3 linked regions of the Danio rerio genome follow. The protein of the gene in region 1 interacts with the protein of each later gene in a pairwise test. Links are inferred from orthologs where the notes say so. Each region holds a gene or a part of one and is shown on either strand. Other genes may lie near its edges.

Evidence for each region.
Region 2: the proteins of psmc5 (region 1) and tnnt1 interact in a two-hybrid assay, tested with the Homo sapiens proteins (2 studies listed by BioGRID and IntAct). The two-hybrid records come from large-scale screens. The link is inferred for Danio rerio from reciprocal best matches to the Homo sapiens genes PSMC5 and TNNT1.
Region 3: the proteins of psmc5 (region 1) and vdrb interact in a two-hybrid assay, tested with the Homo sapiens proteins (2 studies listed by BioGRID). The link is inferred for Danio rerio from reciprocal best matches to the Homo sapiens genes PSMC5 and VDR.

Annotation. Positions count from the first base shown.
Region 1 is NC_133187.1:10,713,076-10,717,290, forward strand, and holds the start of psmc5 (26S proteasome regulatory subunit 8), read left to right. Parts: upstream 1-1,322; 5' UTR 1,323-1,329; coding exon 1,330-1,353; intron 1,354-1,923; coding exon 1,924-1,995; intron 1,996-4,215.
Region 2 is NC_133178.1:30,978,584-30,982,862, forward strand, and holds the start of tnnt1 (troponin T, slow skeletal muscle), read right to left. Parts: upstream 2,897-4,279; 5' UTR 2,804-2,896; intron 1,520-2,803; 5' UTR 1,513-1,519; coding exon 1,487-1,512; intron 1,353-1,486; coding exon 1,339-1,352; intron 951-1,338; coding exon 909-950; intron 1-908. UniProt on the Homo sapiens protein: Troponin T is the tropomyosin-binding subunit of troponin, the thin filament regulatory complex which confers calcium-sensitivity to striated muscle actomyosin ATPase activity.
Region 3 is NC_133181.1:41,552,046-41,556,221, reverse strand, and holds the start of vdrb (vitamin D3 receptor B), read left to right. Parts: upstream 1-1,345; 5' UTR 1,346-1,438; intron 1,439-2,914; exon of another isoform or gene 2,915-2,930; coding exon of another isoform or gene 2,931-2,955; intron 2,956-4,176.

The sequences.
Region 1 (4,215 bases):
TTGTTGTCTGAATAAATGTCTTTTGTGTGGAATTAGTCAATTGGGTGACAATGACAAAACTGAAGTTTGTAATCTCTGCACTGCTAAAAAAATCCACTCACACCTAAAAGATATGCAGATTAGGTGAACTGAATTGACCCTCCATGACACCTGCAAAACAGACGTGCGTATAAAACAGATTTATGTGTGGATTAACTAGTCCTGGACTTTCTAGTGATATGTCATTTGATTGGCTGGCATTGTAGGAACCATTACTTACACTGGCCGGCATACAAACAAGCTCATTTATGGGAAAGAGAGAGGTATGTAAAATTTAGCCTTTTAAATGTTTTTTTTTTTTTTTACTATTATTATTACGTATATATTTGTTAATTAGAATGTCAGGAACAATACATTTAGCTTTCAAAGTTGTTAACTTGTTTGTGTTTCAAAATATCATCCTTTTTTGATGTCCACTGTAGTGGACACCAGGACCATCTTATTTTAATAAATGACTGCATGTTGTAGGGGGCAGAACTGAAGCAGAGAGGATTCTTTATAAGATAGTTGATGGAGACTATGACTTAGAGTCTGACAATCAGACAATAAGAGACAATTAGAGAATGACAATCAGTTTTAAATCGCTTTTATGTTAAATTTGTTTTGGATTAATATCTCTTCTTTTTCTTCTTTTTTTCAGTTTGGCTCTCTTTTAGACTAAACTGTTTCAGGAATTTCAATACAAAAGAAAACAAAAATGGCTTTTGTTTAGTCTGAGTTACATTAATATTGGATTAATATCTCTTTTCAGCCATTTTCTGGAGAGGGGTCTGGATGCAGACCGGGTGCAGTGCAATCTGAGCTGCATCCAATGCTTTTTAATGGGCTCACCTAACCCCACCCCTAACTCTACCCATCATCACAGTGATGTCACTCTCTCCATTGAGTGCATTGTGTCTGAGATTGCATTGCTGAGTGATGCAAATTCAGCTTGCATCATAAAGGCTGCATCCAGATATTAATATCCTGTACAGTTTTGTTGAGTTTGGCAGAATGGTCCTAAAATGGTCCTGTGGTCCACTACAGTGGACAGGCAGTAAAAATAAAAACAAATAAAAAAAAACAAAAACAAATGTGAAAACCCTAAATTGTAGATTTTTTTTAATCCAAAGGATGTTGGAAATCAGAAAAAGGAAAAAAATGTTCTGTGGGTCTCAGGGGGATGAATATGATTGTAGTATCTCTCCAATGTGACTGCGGCGCTAGAGATTGAATCCTCCGTCTTCATCATTCCCTGAAGAAAACAAACCGGAAAAGCGCAATTGACTGGCGGAAGTTTGTGTTTTCAAGATGGCGCTGGACGGGATCGAGCAAGTAAGTAATATTTTTGTTTTAAATCTTCTAATATAAACAGTGATGTTAGCTGTACTTTATTCTTTAGCACAACAAATTCCAGAGATATATTGTACGGTGACTGTAGCGTTTAGAAATAAGATACAATGTCTGACTTTAAGAGACGAATGAAGCAGAGTTTGCTGTCTCATTGTGTCACTGACTGGGATTGATCATAACATGGCATGACTAAATATAACATGTCAACTAAGGAAGTTTCATTATTACATACAAAAACGTTTATAATGGCTGTAGAGATATTTTGTGTGTAATAATGTCATGAATCTCTGGTAGTACTTCAGGAATGTCATGTCACTGAATTTAATGTGGGGAATCAAAAAACGCTGTTGAAAATAAAGCTGTAAGTTACTCTCGAACAATACACAGAGAAATGTCTTATTTCCCATCTCTACAGGATGACTAGATCATTTTAAAAGCAATAAACCGATTTCTTTAACGTTACCTGGCATAATCACTTTACTGTTAATCCCCCGACTGTATATCAATATCGTGACTGCATATCAATATTATTGTTAATATTTATGTTTGCAGATGGATATCGAGGACAGTAAAGGAGGCTCTGGTCTCCGACAGTATTACCTGTCCAAAATCGAGGAGCTTCAGGTAAGAATAGCAATCAAACACTTCACTTTTGCTGATACAATTTACTATTGAGATAAAGTTTAGGGTTCAAAAAGGGTTTTTCTGGAAGCTAGTAGCTGTTTCCTTGGCACATAATTTAAAAAAATGTGTCAAAAGCCAAACAATTATTCAATTTATTTATTTTTAAAGCGTTTGGTATAGATTTATGCATTATAGCCTTAAATTATAGAGAGAATTAACATGAACCGAAACTGCAGTCAGATTATGAAGCAGATCAATGCTGATTTTTCTTTTGAGGTGTCAGTGTAGAAATAAACAAAACAATAGATTAAAATTAATATATTAGAGACAATAATTAAATAGATACAAAATAGATTAAGATTAAAATATGGAACAATTATCAGATGGTAATTTCTGTCAATTTCCCTAACGGATAAACAGCACTCTGTAATGTTTCAGCATGCTTTCACTTTCATATTTGACATGACATGCTCATTTGCCGGTAGGAATGACATCCCACCCTACTCATAACACTTCATAAAACATATATATGGCTATTACACAACCATAATACACTGTGATGTAGCCTGGTTAATTAGTTCATTGGATCATTTTGCTTTCTCACTACAATCGATCAACTCCAGAATTTTTTTTTTATTCAAACTGAGACCACCTCATTTAGGTGATCTCGGACCGATGGTTTTGGGGTGGATCTGAGTGCGATTGCTGATTCGCATATATTAAACGAGACAGGTTGCAAAACAAATGTCTAGCACCCTATTTGCACACAATTGACAGACAGTCGCAGCCAAATTAAACTTTAGTGACAAGGCAGCACTGGGCCAATCAGGCCAGTAACGGTCCTGTCTACTGCCCAGAGCGTCTCGCACGCTTAATTTTATTTGGCTTACAGTTAAATGAAAATGTACAGTACGTTGAACTTAATAGGGTTTTTTTTTTACCCAAATAAGTTATTCCTTCAGGTAACAAGTTAATTTGATGAATTAAAGTATACTGCCATATACTGACAGTCATTTATGGTAAACAGAATAGTTTTTTTGTGATTATTACCAAAAATAAACTCATTACAAACAGTGAAACCAAGTACTTTATGCGTTTTTCTATTTTATAGTCTTAACACCTTAAAATAAATGTACTTGCACAATAAATGATTATTAAAACAATCACTTTAACTGTACTATTAGGTAAAACATTTTTGTGACATTATGAATTATCATTATTGTTTTTAAATGTGTTAAGAACTATGTTAAAATTCCATTTAATATTTTATTTATTAAAGTTTATTTCTTTAAAATAATATTATCTGCAAGTGTTTTTAAATGATACTTTTAAGATGTAAAGGACAGTAAAATTGCATTTTTAAATATGTAAAAATGTTAAATATTTACAAAAAAAACAAAAAAACATTTTACTCATCCTCAGACCATTGATTTGCAGTTGACTTTTTTCCTTAAGCAGGGTTCAACGCTAGAGATATTTTCTATTGGCTCGATTGGACCAGTGGTTCAAATTTTTACTTGCCCTGCCAAAAATTTCACAGGCCCTGTACCAAAAAAAAAAAAAAAAAAGCTATTTCTTAGCCACATATTTTAAATAATGTTTCAAAAATAATGTCTGTTAACCTAGAATTGGCGACGCAGTGGCCCAATAGGTAGTGCTGTCGCCTCACAGCAAGAAGGTCGCTGGGTCGCTGGTTCGAACCTCGGCTCAGTTGGCATTTCTGTGTGGAGTCTGCTTGTTCTCCCTGCATTCGCATGGGTTTCCTTCGGGTGCTCCAGTTTCCCCCACTGTCCAAAGACATGCGGTACAGGTGAATTGGGTAGGCTAAAGTGTGTGTGTGTGTGTGTGTGTTTTCCAGAGATGGAAGGCTGGAAGGGCATCCGCTGCGTAAAAAAAACGTGCTGGATAAGTTGGCGGTTCATTCTGCTGTGGTGACCCCGAATTAATAAAGGGACTAAGCAGACAAGAAAATGAATGAATGAATCTAAAATTTAAATATAAATTAAAAAAATATATATTTAGCAGTAAAATATAGCAATATGGAAAATGTGGAGGTTTTTTATTGCAAAACAAAAGGTGGCTGACTTAAAAATTTGCTTCTCGATTCTAAGACAATATAATAATTGACAAATAGTCGCAGGCAAATTAAAATTTAGTGACAAGGCATCACTGGTCCGATCGGGCCATTAATCATTCTTTCTACTGTCCCGAGCATCCCTG
Region 2 (4,279 bases), on another chromosome or scaffold:
TGGTCACAGCACCTATCCATTTTGGAAGAGTGTGGTGATTCATATTTGATATACCAAATTTTTAAATGATAAAATTAATGTGACTGCCTGAACATAGAATTCTGTTCGATTAATTGTTTGGATTTTTGCATATTCTCTAAAACATGCATAAATGAGTCCTTAGACACCCAGACAAAGAATATTGAAAGAACCGAGGCTGATGAACCCTATAAGACAATTGAGGACAGCACAAAGTCTTAAGCAGTACACAATATGCAAACTGTTCTTAATCATTTTGTTGATCAGTCCACTTCAAAAAAAAAGAAAGAAAAAAAGAAAAAGTATTATATACACAGATGCCACTTGTATGAAAGCACAATATATAATGTATTACTGCAGGTTAATGATCAATGTATTGTCAACTGTATACTCAACACCTTAACTTGATTTCAATTGTAAAGTAAGGATGTACTTTTGTAAAGCTGCTTTGGAATTATTGTGAAAAGGGCGATATAAATAATACACAACTTCCCTCACAAACGTTAAAAAACAAACTTGATGGGAGAATGTGCACAGCTGCAAGTAAACATATTACTTTTGTATTAAACATTGACTTTTTTTAACCACTTTAAACCATCACATGTGGCATAATAAAAAAATTTTAAAAACTATTTATTCTGGCATAGGTTTCTATGGAAAGTTTTATTTACAAGACCCCTGGTCTGTCATTAAATGTTTGACAAGTACTACAGTATATGCCTGATTCAGATTCCAAACTAAAAAGATGACAGCTCACTCTTGTTTACAATTGGTGATATTTTCACTTAGTATATCTAATTTGCACTATATCTACAAAAAAAAAAAAAAATCCATTACATACTTTTCTTTCTATAACCTTGATCAGTTTTTGCATGTCTGTAATATTTTACCTGTTCCAGCTTCCTCTGTAGTCTCCTCCTCCTCTTCTTCAGCTTACAAATACAGACACAATGACAGGATGATTGATGAAAGGCAAACATAAGCGAATATCAATTATGTGCTGAGAGCACGTGAGGACAATCAGGAAATATAATAAGTGAATAAATATAGACAAGTCTGTGCAAAGGATTATGTAAGTGTAGACCATTTGTTAAGGCTACCAGAAACATGAGATCACTGTGCAGGAATAACCCTTCCAGATAAAGGCAGGCTGACAAGCCTAAGCACCCAATCAGACTCATGATTGTGAAACCAATTGAAGCTCAGCAGGGCCTCTTGAAGTATCTATAACTAGCCTCTGGGTACACATTAGACCAAGGCTTTACAGATAATCACTAAATCTGTAGTTTCAGCTGGGCAAGAAATAAAAACAATACTCACCCTCTGCTTGTTCCCTAAAAGACCAATAAAGGAAATGGAATGAGGAATCAGGTAAGAAGTAGGGAAAAAGGATTTACTTATGATCCTTCAGATAGTCCAATACTTGAATAGTTTCCATAAGTAAACATCAAAAAGAAACGGTACTCACTCATATTCCTCTTCTACATCAGACATGATTAAGCTGAAGGAAAAAAGGAGATACAGAAAGAAGGAATAAGACAAGTTTATTGTAATGGCTTTAAAAACCAATGAGAGAGAAATAGAGAGAGACAAAACCCAACAGCACAAGAACCAAATTGTTCCATTGTTCCAAAGTGCTGACAGCCCATTGGATGCTTCACATGAAGACTGATGGGGTGAGAACAGGTGGGAATGCAGAGACTAAGACAGGGCATATGAGATACATTTCTGACTCTTTCATTCACACTTCTCTACAGTTTCACATTTGGTAGAACAAGATTCATGTAGTAGTGTTTCACATTTCCGTCTTGTAAGTAGACACAGTTACACATACAGTACGTATGTGAGATAACAAGACCTTGCTTGATTTCCCTAATTGGATCTTGAGGGTTTGATAGCAGGAACTGCAGATAACAGCAATTACTGTTTGATTGCAGTCATTAAACGTCCCCAGGCAGACTTCTCAAGTGCCTCATCTTTCACATCAGTACTGTATCATGAGAAACAACTTCATAGCTTCTATGTCATCGCTTGAGAGAATTTATGAGGCATGTAGCCGTCACCGACCCTCTTATACTTTATTGTCTCTGGACAAAGGCTTCTATGAAAGCCTGTCTAAAAGCAGAGTCCTTTCAACAGCTTGCCCGCCTGTTACTTTACTAATGAGGGTTTGAGCATCTACAGAGCATGAGTTTGGTCAAACACTGTATAAAATTATCACATTACAAACTGAAGATATTCTTTGCTCTGGATCGACCCAAGCAGGGATAGACACAATTTGGAGGAAACAAGATAGGGAAAGTGCAAGACAAAAAGGCATTTTGGGGATGCAGCAAGGGTGTGGGAGGTCAGAACAGCATTAACCACAGAATTCTGATGGGATAATTTTAGCAAAGGACACAGAGGAGAATATATGAATCTGTATTGCTTAGAGACCGAGTTAATGATTTCATGCGACTATCTGAACACAATCTTTTTTTTTTTTATTAAATGAATAACTAATTAAATTAGCATAAGCTCATACTGGAAGAGGTCAGGAATGCAGTTCCGACCACTGTTTTGGTTCTGTCTGTAGCTATTTAATTACAGAAAAATAGGAAAAGTCTGGTTGAGGAAATCAAAACACATTGCTGGATAAATAACAGCTAACATTATTAGCAAGAACAAGAACTGGAGATAACAGAAAAATCTAATATACATGCAGAATTATACAGAGAAATAAAAAGTGCTGTTCTCCACATTGAAAAGAATGCAGATATCTGAGAGGCAACAAAATGACTTTTACCTTTCGCTGATGGTAGGATAATTCACTCTGTAAAAAGATGAGACGTGGGCACCCAAAGGATGAGAGGAGAGCCCCTGTGAATTATGGAGAGTTATGTATTGTGGGACAATGGGTTGTTTTTATATGAGGACAGGGACAGATGGAGGGTGTTAGCGGCTACGGCACAGGACCATGGATGGATTAGAAATGAACCCAGGGACAGAAAGATGACCACCACAAAGGATTAGGGAAGACATGGGGAATGACCTCACACAACAAACACAGGGATATAAAAAGAGATAGAAAAAAACAAAGGGACAGTTGGGAACAAAAATAGGGCAGCGGATTTAGATACAATTCTTCCAAGAAGACATATTTTCTATTTGACACAATGTAAAATAAGGTAATGGGTAAGACGTCTTTAGGGTAATCGAATGTGCTCCCCGTCCCATTCTTATGGGTACTAGTCAGGAATAAAACACTAATGTCTGGAAAGGATTGATTTTCTAACTTTCTATATTTTATCAAGACTAGTCCGTGCTGTTGGCTGATCAAGTAGGGAAAATAACAGTTTTAGGTATTGACCTTGTACACTGATGGGCCACTTTATTAGGTACACCTTACTAGCACTGGGTTGGACCCTCTTTTGCTTTCAGAACTGCCTTAATCCTTAGTGGCATAGATTCAACAAGGACTCGAAATATTCCTCAGAGATTTTGTTCTATATTGACATGAATGCATCACATAGTTGTTGCAGATTTGCTGCACATCCATGATGTGAATCTCCCGTTCCACCACATCCCAAAGGTGCTCTATTGGATTGAGATCTGGTAACTGGGGAGGCCATTTGACTTCAGTGAACTCATTATCATGCTTAAGAAACCAGTCTGAGATGATTCACCCAGAACACCGGGGTTACACCCCAACTCTTTACGTGAAGTGCCATGGGATTTTTAATGATCACAGAGAGCCACTTTATTAGGTACACCTGTCCAACTGCTTGTTAACATAAATCTACAATCAGCCAATCACATGGCAAAAATACAATGCATTTAGGCATGTAGACATGGTCAAGATGATCAGCTGCAGTCATGTCATAAAGCATTATGTCATAAAGCGCGAATCATCTCAGACTGGTTTCGTAATCCTACTGGAAGTAGCGATCAGAATATACACTGTGGTCATAAAGGGATGGACATGGCCAGCAACAATACTCAGGTAGGCTGTGACATTGACACAGTTGGTACTAATGGGACCAAAGTGTTCCAAAAAATATTCCTTACACCATTACACCACCACTAGCTGCCTGAGCCGTTGATACAAGGCAGGATTGATCCATGCTTTCATGTTATTGATGCCAAATTCAGACCTGACCATCCGAATGTCACAGCAGAAATCGAGACTCATAAGACAAGACAACGTTTTTCCAATCTTCTAGTGTCCAGTTTTGCTGAGCCTGTGCGAATTGTAGCCTCAGTTTTCTGTTCTTAGCTGAGA
Region 3 (4,176 bases), on another chromosome or scaffold:
AACATTTTTACAGTCCTAACCAGCGTGGGTTCAAAGTTTGTTTTGTGCCCGGAAACTGCGAGTCGCCCACTGGCCGCGGAAGAAGCGCGTTCAGATTCGACCGTGTGCATTGTTTGTGTGTACGTTACGTTAGTTAACCCACGGCGAGAGAAAAAAAAATCCGCGCGGGATGGATTACAAAGCTGCGATAGCCAGCATAATTCGTTAGCATCTCGTCGACTAGCTCCTCCAGAGGCTCGATCGCGAGTACGGGGCTGCGGTGCGGCTGGACGCGGAGCGAGGCGACCCTCTGCGGGCTGCGCTGCCGAGGCGGTGGGCGTGTTTTCTCGGCGTGCTAGCATGTGAGCTGGCGCCAAGTTCTCGGCGTGAAGAAAAAGAAAGAAAAAAACAAGATTTACAAGTTACGGATTGGAGAGAAGCAGCAAAAGTCACATCACGCTTGATCGGAAAAGTTGCACGCAGGTACGAAGCGAGCAGTTTACTCTAACACACACTATTATCAAAGTGAACCTTGTGCGCTCACTAATGCAATTCAAAACAAAAGCTGCTAGTCTGCTAATGTTAGGTAACCTACTCAAGTGACTGCTTTTTTCATCCTGGCACATGAGATCCAGAGGGAGCGAGAGAGAGAGTTAATGTGTGTAGTTTGTGAGCTAAATTAACACTAGAATGTATTCGTTGTGTGTGTGTTTGGTGCACTGATTGAATGCGATTTAAACACCGACCTTGGCGAGTTATACAACATGGAAAACTTTGCACATGCCTCGGAGTGCAGCTAGTTCTGAAGAATGACCTAAAGCAGCAAATCCGCGCTAATGAAGCGTCAATTGTATTCAAAGCGATATAAAAGCGTGTAATGTTAATGAGTGTGATAGTAAAGCTGCGTATCAGCTCATCTGTTGCGGTAATTTTCAACTGCGACATCATCCAGACACAGCGACAATTTCGCGTCTGTGGCGTTTAGCAGCTCTTCAAAGTTACTTTTTTTGGAGATCAGTTTTCCTTCGCTAACTGTTTTTCTTTTATGTGAAGTAAAAGATTTGCTAAACGAATGATTAATTGCTCAACAAGGAAACGTATTACGGCTTCAGATGCGATACCTTTTATATAGCAGTTTGCGGTGTCACTTTCTTGTAAAATATTAGCAAACAATTTAGCATTGCATAAAGCTTAATATATAATTTGCTAATATATATTAAAATAATCACAATGTAATTAATTTTTCATTCATATATTTTGGCATATTTCTGTTTCATCGTTGTAATGTTTCATTGTAAATGAATGTTACTGTTTCAATATAAACATCTGCCCTTGTTGTTTTTCTGTCATCATAACAATGCTTTATGGGCAGAAACTAATTTGATAGTGCTCTGTATGTTTCATAAGTCCTGATGTTGATATAAAAATGTTTAAGCATTCAAACACTGGCGATATTCAGGTAATATCAGTCATATTAACCTCAGCAGTGTTGTTTAACAAAATGCCCTTATGGATCGTATAGGAGAGAAAGAGAGAGAGCGTGTGACTCTGACATGAAAGCACATTGTGCTGTTGGTATGTTGAGAATCTGTTGTAGTGTGCAGAGTTTGTTTAACATGTCTGTTGAACTGGCCTAGGACCTTTTCAGCACTCCAAATGGACAACTAGTTAGGGCATGTCCGACTAGCATGAACAAAAGTAAACTCCTGCAGATGTTTATTCTTATTTCTTAAGTTTGTTTGGGATGGAGTCAAGTGGTAAACCTTTAAAATCAATGTAATGGTTAGCCTTTTCCCATGTAGGATTGGCTAATAGATTTGCTCTGCATTGTATCAGATAATGTGTTTGTGTGGCTGTGACGCAGTGGCTGTTGTTGTTTTCTCTTTTCCTACGATTCTCCATTGTGCAGATTCAGGGCTGCAATGGTCTAATTTGAGTTTAAATGGAAAGAGATAGTCAAGCATGTAACAAGATTAGACGTGATACCTTGGAAGGGTTTCAAAATACTATTTCCCTGTTATTCAGCACTACTGTATGTCTTTCATATCTACATTACTGTTAAATGGTAAGATGTAGGCATGGGGCTGAATAAGATTGTGATGGTGTGATTTGTTTTGTGATTACTGCTCTAAAACAGATTATTTTTAAATGTCTGGATAAAAAACTAAAACTTTTTTCCTCTTTGAACACAAAACATTTTATTTTAAAAACATTTTAAACATTTTGGAGCAGTAAACATGTCGTGCTAAATAATTAAAATGAATCATTGACTTCTGCTGTCTTCATTGGTTTAAAAAACTATTTTCTGCTGGAGATACTGCTTTCCCAAAAAAAGCTAAAAAGAAACGTAAATAAATAAATCTTACATGTACTGTAGGAACGATATAGCAGAAAATTTTGGCGGTTTTAAAACCTTGACTTTTCCAAATCGCGGTATACCTTGAAAATGTTTATTGTTTCATGCCTAGTAAGATGTTGTGTATTCATTTATTTAAAATCAATACTGCTCTTCAAGTTCATCAAAGATTCTTCTTTCCAATACTTAAATAAATACAGTGTAACTTTTGATCATTGATAAGGAAAAAAAAAAAAGATTTCTGAAGGATCATATGACAGAAAAGACTTGAGTAATGACTGCAGAAAATTCCGCCTTGACTGTACAGAAATAAATGACAATACAAAACAGTGATTTTAATGAACTGTAATAAAATTTCACATAATTTCAGTGTTTCGGTTATTTTATACAGTCAATTGTGAGAGACTTTTTATAAAATCATTTTAAAAAGCTTGCTTTAAACCACACACTATCCACTAGGCATGGGACGATAACCGTTATCAATGTATTCCTCAGTTTGGAAAAGTCAAGAGTTTTCTGTTATACCGTTCATAAGGTATGTGTAAGATTTTTTTTTTGTTTTTTGTTTTGTTTTTTTAGGACAACAGCAGAGAAGATGTCAAAAGATACCAATTTAAATGGTAAAGAAATCAGTGTTTTTGAAGCTAATGAACAAAAATTCATTTGAATTATGAAGCCTGCCATGTTTACTGCTCCAAAATATTATAAATGTTTCTCTAAATAAATTCTATTGCATAAATGTGTAGAATTCACACCTTTTATGGTAGCCTATTGCACGTTTTCTGACGCTTCAGTTTGAATCTGAATCAGTTCATTTCTGTTTCTGTTGAAATGATTTAGTAGCTAGAACAAGCTCAACAATCTCTTCAAAAGAGGGACTCACAAATTAAAATTTTGAATTATTTTGGTTTATTGCCTGATAAGACTGAACAAAAAATAAATAAATAAATGAAAAACCCAAAATAGCAACAGCAAACATTGAATCGATTTTTGACCACCTCATATAGCCCAATTTTGTAGGAAAAATGCTCTTTATGTAACAAATTTCGTTTGTTATAATTTGTATCTTTATTTTAATGTATTTTTTGTTAGCCAGTTATCTACAAAATAATCAAAAAGAGCTAACACATTTCAGGTGAAGTGACTTGCAAATAATACTTTTTTCCAGCAATAAGGGAATTATGCATTAAAATCAAGTGTGCCTATTATAACATTTTAAAATGTGTATTTCTGACCTTTATTTAATAGATTTGAGTTATGAATTACAATATCGCAGTACTATTTGGCATCTTGATACTTCAGCTGGTATAGTATCGTAACCTGAATGAATAGTATCGCGACAACCCTTGTGGGTTCTGCATTTGAATTTACTACTCGACCAAAAGAAAAGAGCGTTCTATACAGTAGGAATGTGAGTAGTATGAATGAAGCCAATATATCATGATCGCGTGAAGCACCCGCTTCACTCCCATTCATGAATTTTCTCATGGTGCATCATAAGATCGCGTAGCGTCTATCGGGAGTGCACTTCAGAATCTTGCTGGAAGTAGCAGATCATCCGGGTACTTCTCGCATATTGATTTTGGATTTCTATGAATTCGGACATGCTACTCGCCTCGGCTTGCATACTGTTTTTACTATATAGAGTACTATGTAGTATGAAAGTAAGCAATTTTGGGCGCAACCATTGTATTCAAAGTGGGAAAAAGTTCTTGTTTTCTTTTACCCAGACATTTAAAAAGAATAAATTTTAAAGCATTAATCACAATATCGTCAAACTGATGATTTTATCCAAGGTTATCATTCTGCCAGAATCTATGAGCACACACCTCATTTAAAAA